Xenopus tropicalis: one gene and its partner. The protein of the gene in region 1 binds, or shares a complex with, the protein of each later gene. Links are inferred from orthologs where the notes say so. Each region holds a gene or a part of one and is shown in the gene's direction. Other genes may lie near its edges. The genes, in order: bbs7 and arl6.

Region 1 (3,068 bases):
GCAGAACTTATCATCTATTAAAGTTTGATGTTATCAAACATCTCCACCTTTTATTTTGGCTCATTGTTCTTTAAATATATTTACTATTTTGGAAGGGAACATATATTTAAAATTAAATAAATAAAGCTTCATGAAGGAACAGACCAAAAGTGGATGAGAGTATGAGTTATGCTAGACTGACAGTAATGATATGTGCATGTATTTCAGGCCCATGAACACGGTGAGCCTGACTGGCCAGTTCAGCTTTTCAGACATGCATTCCTGGGTTGTATTTTGTTTACCTGAAGTCCCTGAGAAAACTCCAGTGGGAGAGAACGTCACCTTTTACTTCAAGAATACCTTTCTGGAAACGCAGCTCGAATGTACATACAGGTAAATTGTAAAACTGGGTTCTTCAGAATCATTTCCGCCAATTAAAAGCACGATTGGAAAAAATTTGGAGTAACCACAATAATTTCTAATGTGCAAAAATTCTTTTTTTGGTCATACGAAAATATCGTGGTTGCGATCCGAAAGTCACAAAATGTTCATATCCGAACGATCGTTAAAGGTGCGAGATCCTTTCTGGCTTTAAAACTTAAATGCATGATTTTGGAAGCCTCCCATAGGACTCAATGACACTCTACAGCTCCAACCTGGCCAAAAAAAAGTCACAATACCAAAGCTTAAATGAATTCCGAAATTGTCGTAGTCTTTGCAAAAAATACAAAGTTTTTGTGGAATTTAACGAAAACCACGAAAAAGTCTTACTATTTTAACGATATTGTTGTAAATACGAAAAGGTCTAACAATTAGAAAAAATACAATTTTTTCTTATTCGTGGTCAATATAACCAGGACTGTTATATATAATGTTCCAGAATGTGCAATCCATTTACAGGTATGAGACCTGTTATCCGGAATGTTTGGGACCTGGGGTTTTCCAGATATTTCCATAATTTGGATTTCTGTACCTTACTACAAAAATCATTTAAACATTAAATAAACCCAATAGGTTTGTTTTGCCTCCAATATGAATTAGTGCAGCTTAATTACGATCATGTACAATGTACTGTTTTATTATTACAAAAAAAAAAAAGGAAATCATTTTTAAAAATCTGGATCATTTGATTAAAATGGAGTCTATGGGAGATGGCCTTCCTGTAATTTGGAGCTTTCTGGATAACTGTGTCTGGATAACTGAACCCATACCTGTATCAAAACTTGTTAAAACAAAAGTACTTCAGTCAGTGGGTCTTGTGCAGCATCAAAATATTATGTTCATTAAAAAAATATATATATGTTGTCACTGAAATGTCTTCTGTGGACTTCCACAGGAAATGAAACCTATATATAATATATTATACATATATATAGCATTGTCATTCATGCTCACCTCTTTTTTTTTATCACAGAAAGGGAGAAGGATTATTTAAATCTGACAATATATCAACAATTTCTATCCTGAAAGATGTGCTGTCAAAAGAAGCCACTAAAAGAAAGATTAATCTCAACATATCATATGGTATTTTGTCTAATTTACTTTCCCTTACCTAGCCTTATACAAACATACATTCCACTGTTCAGTGCTCTTGTTCTTGAAATGTATTACTTTTGTGAGTATTTATTTCTTAATATACTTTTTGTAATCTTTTATAGTGCAGTATATCTCCACCTTTGTATTGCAGACTAACACAAGCTGTTTGTTACCGAGTCTGGAGATATTTCAAGTAGTTCAGTTATGTGTGCCATCTAGTTAGGAAATGTTGATGCCTTATTATAAATATATTAGAAAATAGAAATTATATTCATTGTAAAAAGAAAATATTTCAAATCCATATTCATTTTATCTGAAAGAGTATTTAGTTTCATCAAAAATATAAAATACTAAAATATTTTAATGAATGTATACTGGAAAATTATTATATTGAAAATAACAGTTAAATGTTATTTTTGAATTTATATCCCTTTAATACTACTGACTTGTTTCTCAAATTAGTGAAATAGGTTGCTAAGTTTTTCCCCAGGCTGGTGCTCCTGGAGGGAACTGCACCAACCTGTAGAAAAAACTGTCTGAGCACCGCACCGGCATCTCCTTACCTTACTTTCTTATTTGAGTGCAGTGGCCGGTAAATGGTAAGTAAATTGGCGGCATGGCGCTCAGACAGTTTTTTCCACAGGCTTTTAAGATTCTCTTCTAACAGGAGCACCAACCTGGGAAAATAATATAGCAACCTATTTCACTTAGGGGGCCTAACATTTTGGAACCCCTCCATAAAATAGACTTTACATGTCCTGTAATACAGATTCCCTTTGTAAATGAGCTATTCCTTATTACAAAGGCTGCAGCTTAGGTATTAGCGGGGTTTTTTTATACAAAGCTCATTATCTCCCTTTGAAATATTACCCTGTTTTATTTATTGTGCTATTTTCAAGCCAAGGTGTTTACTGCCCCTTTGAGGGAAGATAAATTGTTAAAATGTCAGTAATGGCACTTCTGGTATAAAACATGGCTTTTACTGCTAAGAAACAAACCTAGAACTTTATAATGTAAAAGAAAACAAATTTATGTTATGGCCTTTTAACATTATTTTTTAAGAGCTGTTCACTTTTCCTGAGCTCAAGGGTAATGTTAATGAATGTTAATGCAGTTTGGATAGTAATTACTAGAATGAATGTTACGGTTCCTCCATGTGTAGCAAGCTTTTGCAGTCATCATATAAAACTAACTTTTGCCTCACTTCTTCTTTTGGTTTGTGCAGATATAAATGAAGAATCTGTTGGGCACACTTTGAAACTGATTCATCCAAAACTGGAGTACCAATTGCTCTTAGCCAAAAAAGTACAATTAATTGATGCTCTGAAGGTGGGTAATATGTGTTAGGAGCATTTCTTCTTGTGTGAGCTTTTAGCTAATTAGCTATCAATGGGTCTGTCTATGTTTCAAAATCATGAATGTCAGCATGCTAGCCAGTGTTGGATTACACACCCCAACTTTAAGATCATAAAAGCAACTTTTCTCCTTTGGGCACTGGGGGTTGAGGTAATCATTGTGGTAAAGCATTTTTCTCACAGAAGCAAGACACTGAT
Region 2 (4,462 bases), on another chromosome or scaffold:
CCTTTGTCTTAACTGTGGTCCCTATAGCAAGGCATACAGAGCCTGGGGTAGGCTAAACCCTTAGAGTCTCCTATGGTGGGGCTAATGGCTGCCCTTTCTAGATAAAGCTGACTATGCTCACTTCTCCTAGAGAGTGCTATTAAAGGAGAAGGAAAGGCAAAATCTAATAAGCACACTATTAAAAAGTAATACTATTGCTGCGTAAAATCGCTATATTCCTGGCTTGCCTAATGAAAGATTTACAAAGATACACATACTTGAACTTACATGCTTGTTTCAGTGAACGGCGCCGCCATCTTAAGGTGGCCATACACGGACCGATTTTTTACTTACAAACGACCGATTCCCGAACGATCCGATGCTATCGTTAAGTTATCGTATAGTTGGTGGTGTACGAACGATCGTCGGCCCACTAAACGAGCCGACATTATCGTCCCCAAAATCGATCGGCCAGGTTTAAAAATTTTGGTCGTTTAAGGTTTTTTCTCTGTTTGGCTTCTGATCTTCTGAACGGGTGAAGTATGGGGAGACTTAAGGGCACTATTGAGAGAACTGAAGGTATGCCTGCAGCTTGAGATTAACTCTTTACTAGCCTTTCCTTCTCCTTTAAATGTGCTGCTGTGCTTTCTTATCCTCATTCACGGGGCCCTGTCCCCGACTTTAGTTGTTCCAGTAGTGTTACTGGGGCCTTGCTGCCTCCAGGCTCAGATGGAGCTCTGCTTGGGACAGAGGTAGGGGTAAAGCCATAGGGAGCTTGGCCCTATGGGTCCCTACAGTACACTACCCAGAATGCCATTGGACAGTATAGACAGAGGGTCCCTTTTCTATTCCTCTTTGTTGAACCTGAAGCAGCAAAACTACAAATAACCAGCATGGACTGGGCACACAGGGCAGGGAAACATCAGTCATCCCAGTAACTGGAAAGGGGGCACATTGCGCTATTTTCAAAGTGGCTAGTTGTGGGCTGATTTTTGAACTGATACCCAATCAGTGCCATTTTGGCGACAAAAACATTTTTTTAGTGGTACTTACTTGGAACTTGCACACTTCAGCATTAGGACCAGAATAACTAGGAATAAAGGACTACTCTCTAGCCCCTCTTGGCGCAAAATACACCCATCTGAGCCCACAATTGCTCTTTACTAAACTCTTATGGTTTCAGGTATAACGTAAATATATTTTTCCAGACAAAACTAGGAGCTGCAAGCAAAAGAAACAAAAATTGTTGGCAAACACCCGCCCGAAATACACTATCGCATGATATTAGCAAATAACCACAAAGTTCGCCACTAGCAAAGTGCGGCTCTGGGCGGCGTCACTGCGCTTATATACACGGTGCGTGACGTCACAATCTCGCGAGATGAGACCTGCGGGATTTGGATTAACTCGCCGGCCGGAGTTAGGGAGCTGGACCTTACCGGGGCTGAGGGACTTTTACACAGCGAGTCTGGACTGCGAGAAAATCGGGACAATTGGGCGGTATGCCATAGGCTTGTTATGGGCCGTATGTAATTGCTTAATTAATTGCTTAATTTTGTATGATTCCAGTATCATTTAGAAGGGTCAGTGAATATATAACATTTGGTGTAGCGTACTTAAATAGTGGGTAACCTTTAAATGAGATTGTAATATGCTGCAGGGAGTCTTCTTCTGAGACAAACTAGTGGTCTTCATTTTGTTGTGTTATTTTTTTTCAGAAGCTATGTGGTTGCTAAGCGTCCATGTTACCCTAGCAACTAGGCAGGGGTTCCAATGAGACACGGAGAGGGCCTGAATAGGAAGATAAATAACAATTACAATAAAGGTATATCTCCACAGGGCAGTAGTTTAAAAATAAATAGGATGTGTTTTACATAGGAAATAAATATTACTGGTGATGTTTTCCATAGCAACCAATTAGACATGTATGTATATCTTTATTTATAAAGCGCTACTTATGTACGCAGCGCTGTACAGTAGGATACATTAATACAAACAGGGGGTTAATAAGATAATAGATAAATACAAATTATAACAATAAATACAGATAAATACAGTTGCAATAAGTTAAGAGTCAAAGACACAAGAGGATGGAGGTCCCTGCCCCGTAGAGCTTACAATCTATATGGGAGGGTAACTTACAGACACAAATAGGCAAATATAAGTGCTGTAGGTCACAGTGGGTGACAGTACAATAAAAGTGCTGATTCCCAGATCATGGCCACCTACAAGAGAGAGGACAAAATTGGTTGCTATGGGCGGCATTACTGTTGGTATTTATCTCCAATGTTAATAAAACTGATCAAAAAATGCTGCGAATGGGACATTTGGTAACGGTGAGCGACCCTATAATTACAGTCACAGACTCCCAGGAAGTCCCATTTAAAAACTATTAACACCAAATGTGTTGCTTTGCTATTGGTAGATCCCTTTAGACCAGTGAGGACAGATGCCTGTATCCTTAGTGCTGGTTTATTTGTTTCCCCAGTAAAGACTTTATTCCCTCCGGGGCTGTGATTGTTTCCCTGCTTCATACAGTACAGCAATAAGGTGTGATATAAGGGGTTATTTACAAAGTGCATTAAAAGGGTTTCAAACTGCTATGTTTTTCGCACCCTGCCCTGCACTTTTTTTTAATTGAAGTTCCTGCGCTCCAGAGACCCGTGTTTGGCAGTGTTGTATTGTTGAGGAGCAGGGGCACTTACCCATTCCCTAACTTACACCTCATTCACACATGTAGGTACAGGCAGCAAAGGAGCCCTGTATGGCCATAGCTGCCATGCATCCACCTGCATTGCCCTCTGCACTTCGCTCTGGATTGAAATTTAGTGCTAAGTGCAGAGCAGCCAGACTCTGAACTCAAGTGCTAAATGAGGACTGATTTTGCACCTTTTAGTCAGGGTTGCCAGATTGGCGGTGTTCCCACCAAATGGGGCTACTAATTTAAAGCCCTGGTGGGTTTCCAATATACAAACCAGCCAAGGTACAGTTTTGGTCTATTTTTTGGAGCCTTGGCGGGTTTGTAATAATAATAATAATAATAGTTTGTAATTTGGAAACTAGCCGAAATTTTTGCCCCCTAGTGTGCCTGTTCCACTGCATGCTGGGTAATATAGTTTGTATCGAACAATTGGCCTACAGCTAGGATTAATATAGAACTACCATACCCAGCATGCAATTGGATAGTATAGACAGAGGCTCCCTTTTCTATTTCTTTTTTTTTTTTTCCTTTCAGGCTCAATCCGTCTATTCTACAACCAGCTCCCTGCTCTATAGGTTATGTGATTGTACTTTCTACTGTGATGTGGGAGCAGCTCTGCAGTTGGTCCTTAAAGAGATACTGACATCAGAAATGAAACTTTATGTTTATATTTATCACAACATTGTCTTTGCATGCTATTTATAATGTTGTCTTTAAAGCACTTGTCTGGTGCTTCTACATTACCTACATGATCTTCAATGTTCCTCTATGAGGGGGCTGCCATATTTGTGCAGCAGGAGTCCGATAGCATTAGAAGCTGGAACTGGTAAGCTGAAAAGGGACACAGTCTGGTTGGCAAAACAGTCAGGTTTAGGAACTTCAAGTAACAATTACTTACAGAAGCAGCCCTATCAGTGAAAAACGGTCAACATGATCTATATGTAACCTTTAATGTACATTAATATTTTGAAGAGTAGTTTTTAAGTGTCAGTATCACTTTAAGCTATAACTCTCAGGATATCTTGGGGCGGCTGAGAGTTGTAGTGCAATGCACCCATGTATATCATGTCTGGGGTTAATGCAACATTCAGAATCTATTTCTGTAGTGACTTCCCAGCTGGTCTGGGCACAGAGGGCAGGGAATTATCAGCCATCCCAGTACCTGGAAAGGGAGCACATGGCATGGGTAGTGCTTATAAGCTTTAAAAAGGCAGGGTTTCCCCATATATACTTTTATTTTCTTAGAATTTTTTTTCATTGCGCATATTGGACTATTTGTGGGCTACTTTCAAAGTGGCTTTTGGCTAGTTTTGGGCTGGTTTTAGAACTGACTTTGGCTAGTTTGGAAAAATAAATCTGCCTACCCTGCTTTTAGTGCTCCAGCAGTTGCATCAGGGGTCATAGTAAATATATAACCCTTATAATGTTTCACTAGTGGTGTAACAGTTCTTTGTGTGGCCACACATCAGAATTGTTCAGGGCACTCCCTAAACTTTGGAAATGAATCATATCAATACATAAAATGGTTAATTGGTCAGTCCGTTGTTTACTTTCCCTATATTTAGTTAGACACAAGCAATCCTGTGGGGGCGGAATACTTGTAACTGTCATATTTTGTCATAGCTGTGTCCTTGTGGCACCGTGTAGACTGGGCATTGTTCATTTGTGCATGAGTTAGTTGGTGTATGAGACATACCGACACTTGGGGGCAGATTTATCAACACTGGGTAAATTAGCCCATGCAGGTGGCTGGAAAAAGACCACTATACTATAGGTTACTAT

The links.
Region 2: the proteins of bbs7 (region 1) and arl6 are in contact, whole or in part, in a cryo-EM structure (PDB 6VBV), measured with the Bos taurus proteins. The link is inferred for Xenopus tropicalis from reciprocal best matches to the Homo sapiens genes BBS7 and ARL6. Residues at the interface, in NP_001178275.2 of Bos taurus: Leu3, Ile249, Val250, Gly251, Asp300, Gly301, Tyr302, Asp303, Thr319, Glu320, Pro321, His323, Lys324, Glu325, Ser326, Gly327, Pro328; in NP_001069250.1 of Bos taurus: Met132, Asp133, Arg135, Thr139, Ser140, Val141, Ser144, Trp157, His158, Ile159, Cys160, Ala161, Asp163, Lys166.

What each region holds. Positions count from the first base shown.
Region 1 is NC_030677.2:66,817,477-66,820,544, forward strand, and holds part of bbs7 (Bardet-Biedl syndrome 7 protein), read left to right. Parts: intron 1-207; coding exon 208-372; intron 373-1,393; coding exon 1,394-1,503; intron 1,504-2,740; coding exon 2,741-2,844; intron 2,845-3,068.
Region 2 is NC_030678.2:20,788,604-20,793,065, reverse strand, and holds the start of arl6 (ADP-ribosylation factor-like protein 6), read left to right. Parts: upstream 1-1,350; 5' UTR 1,351-1,504; intron 1,505-4,462. UniProt on the Homo sapiens protein: Involved in membrane protein trafficking at the base of the ciliary organelle. Mediates recruitment onto plasma membrane of the BBSome complex which would constitute a coat complex required for sorting of specific membrane proteins to the primary cilia.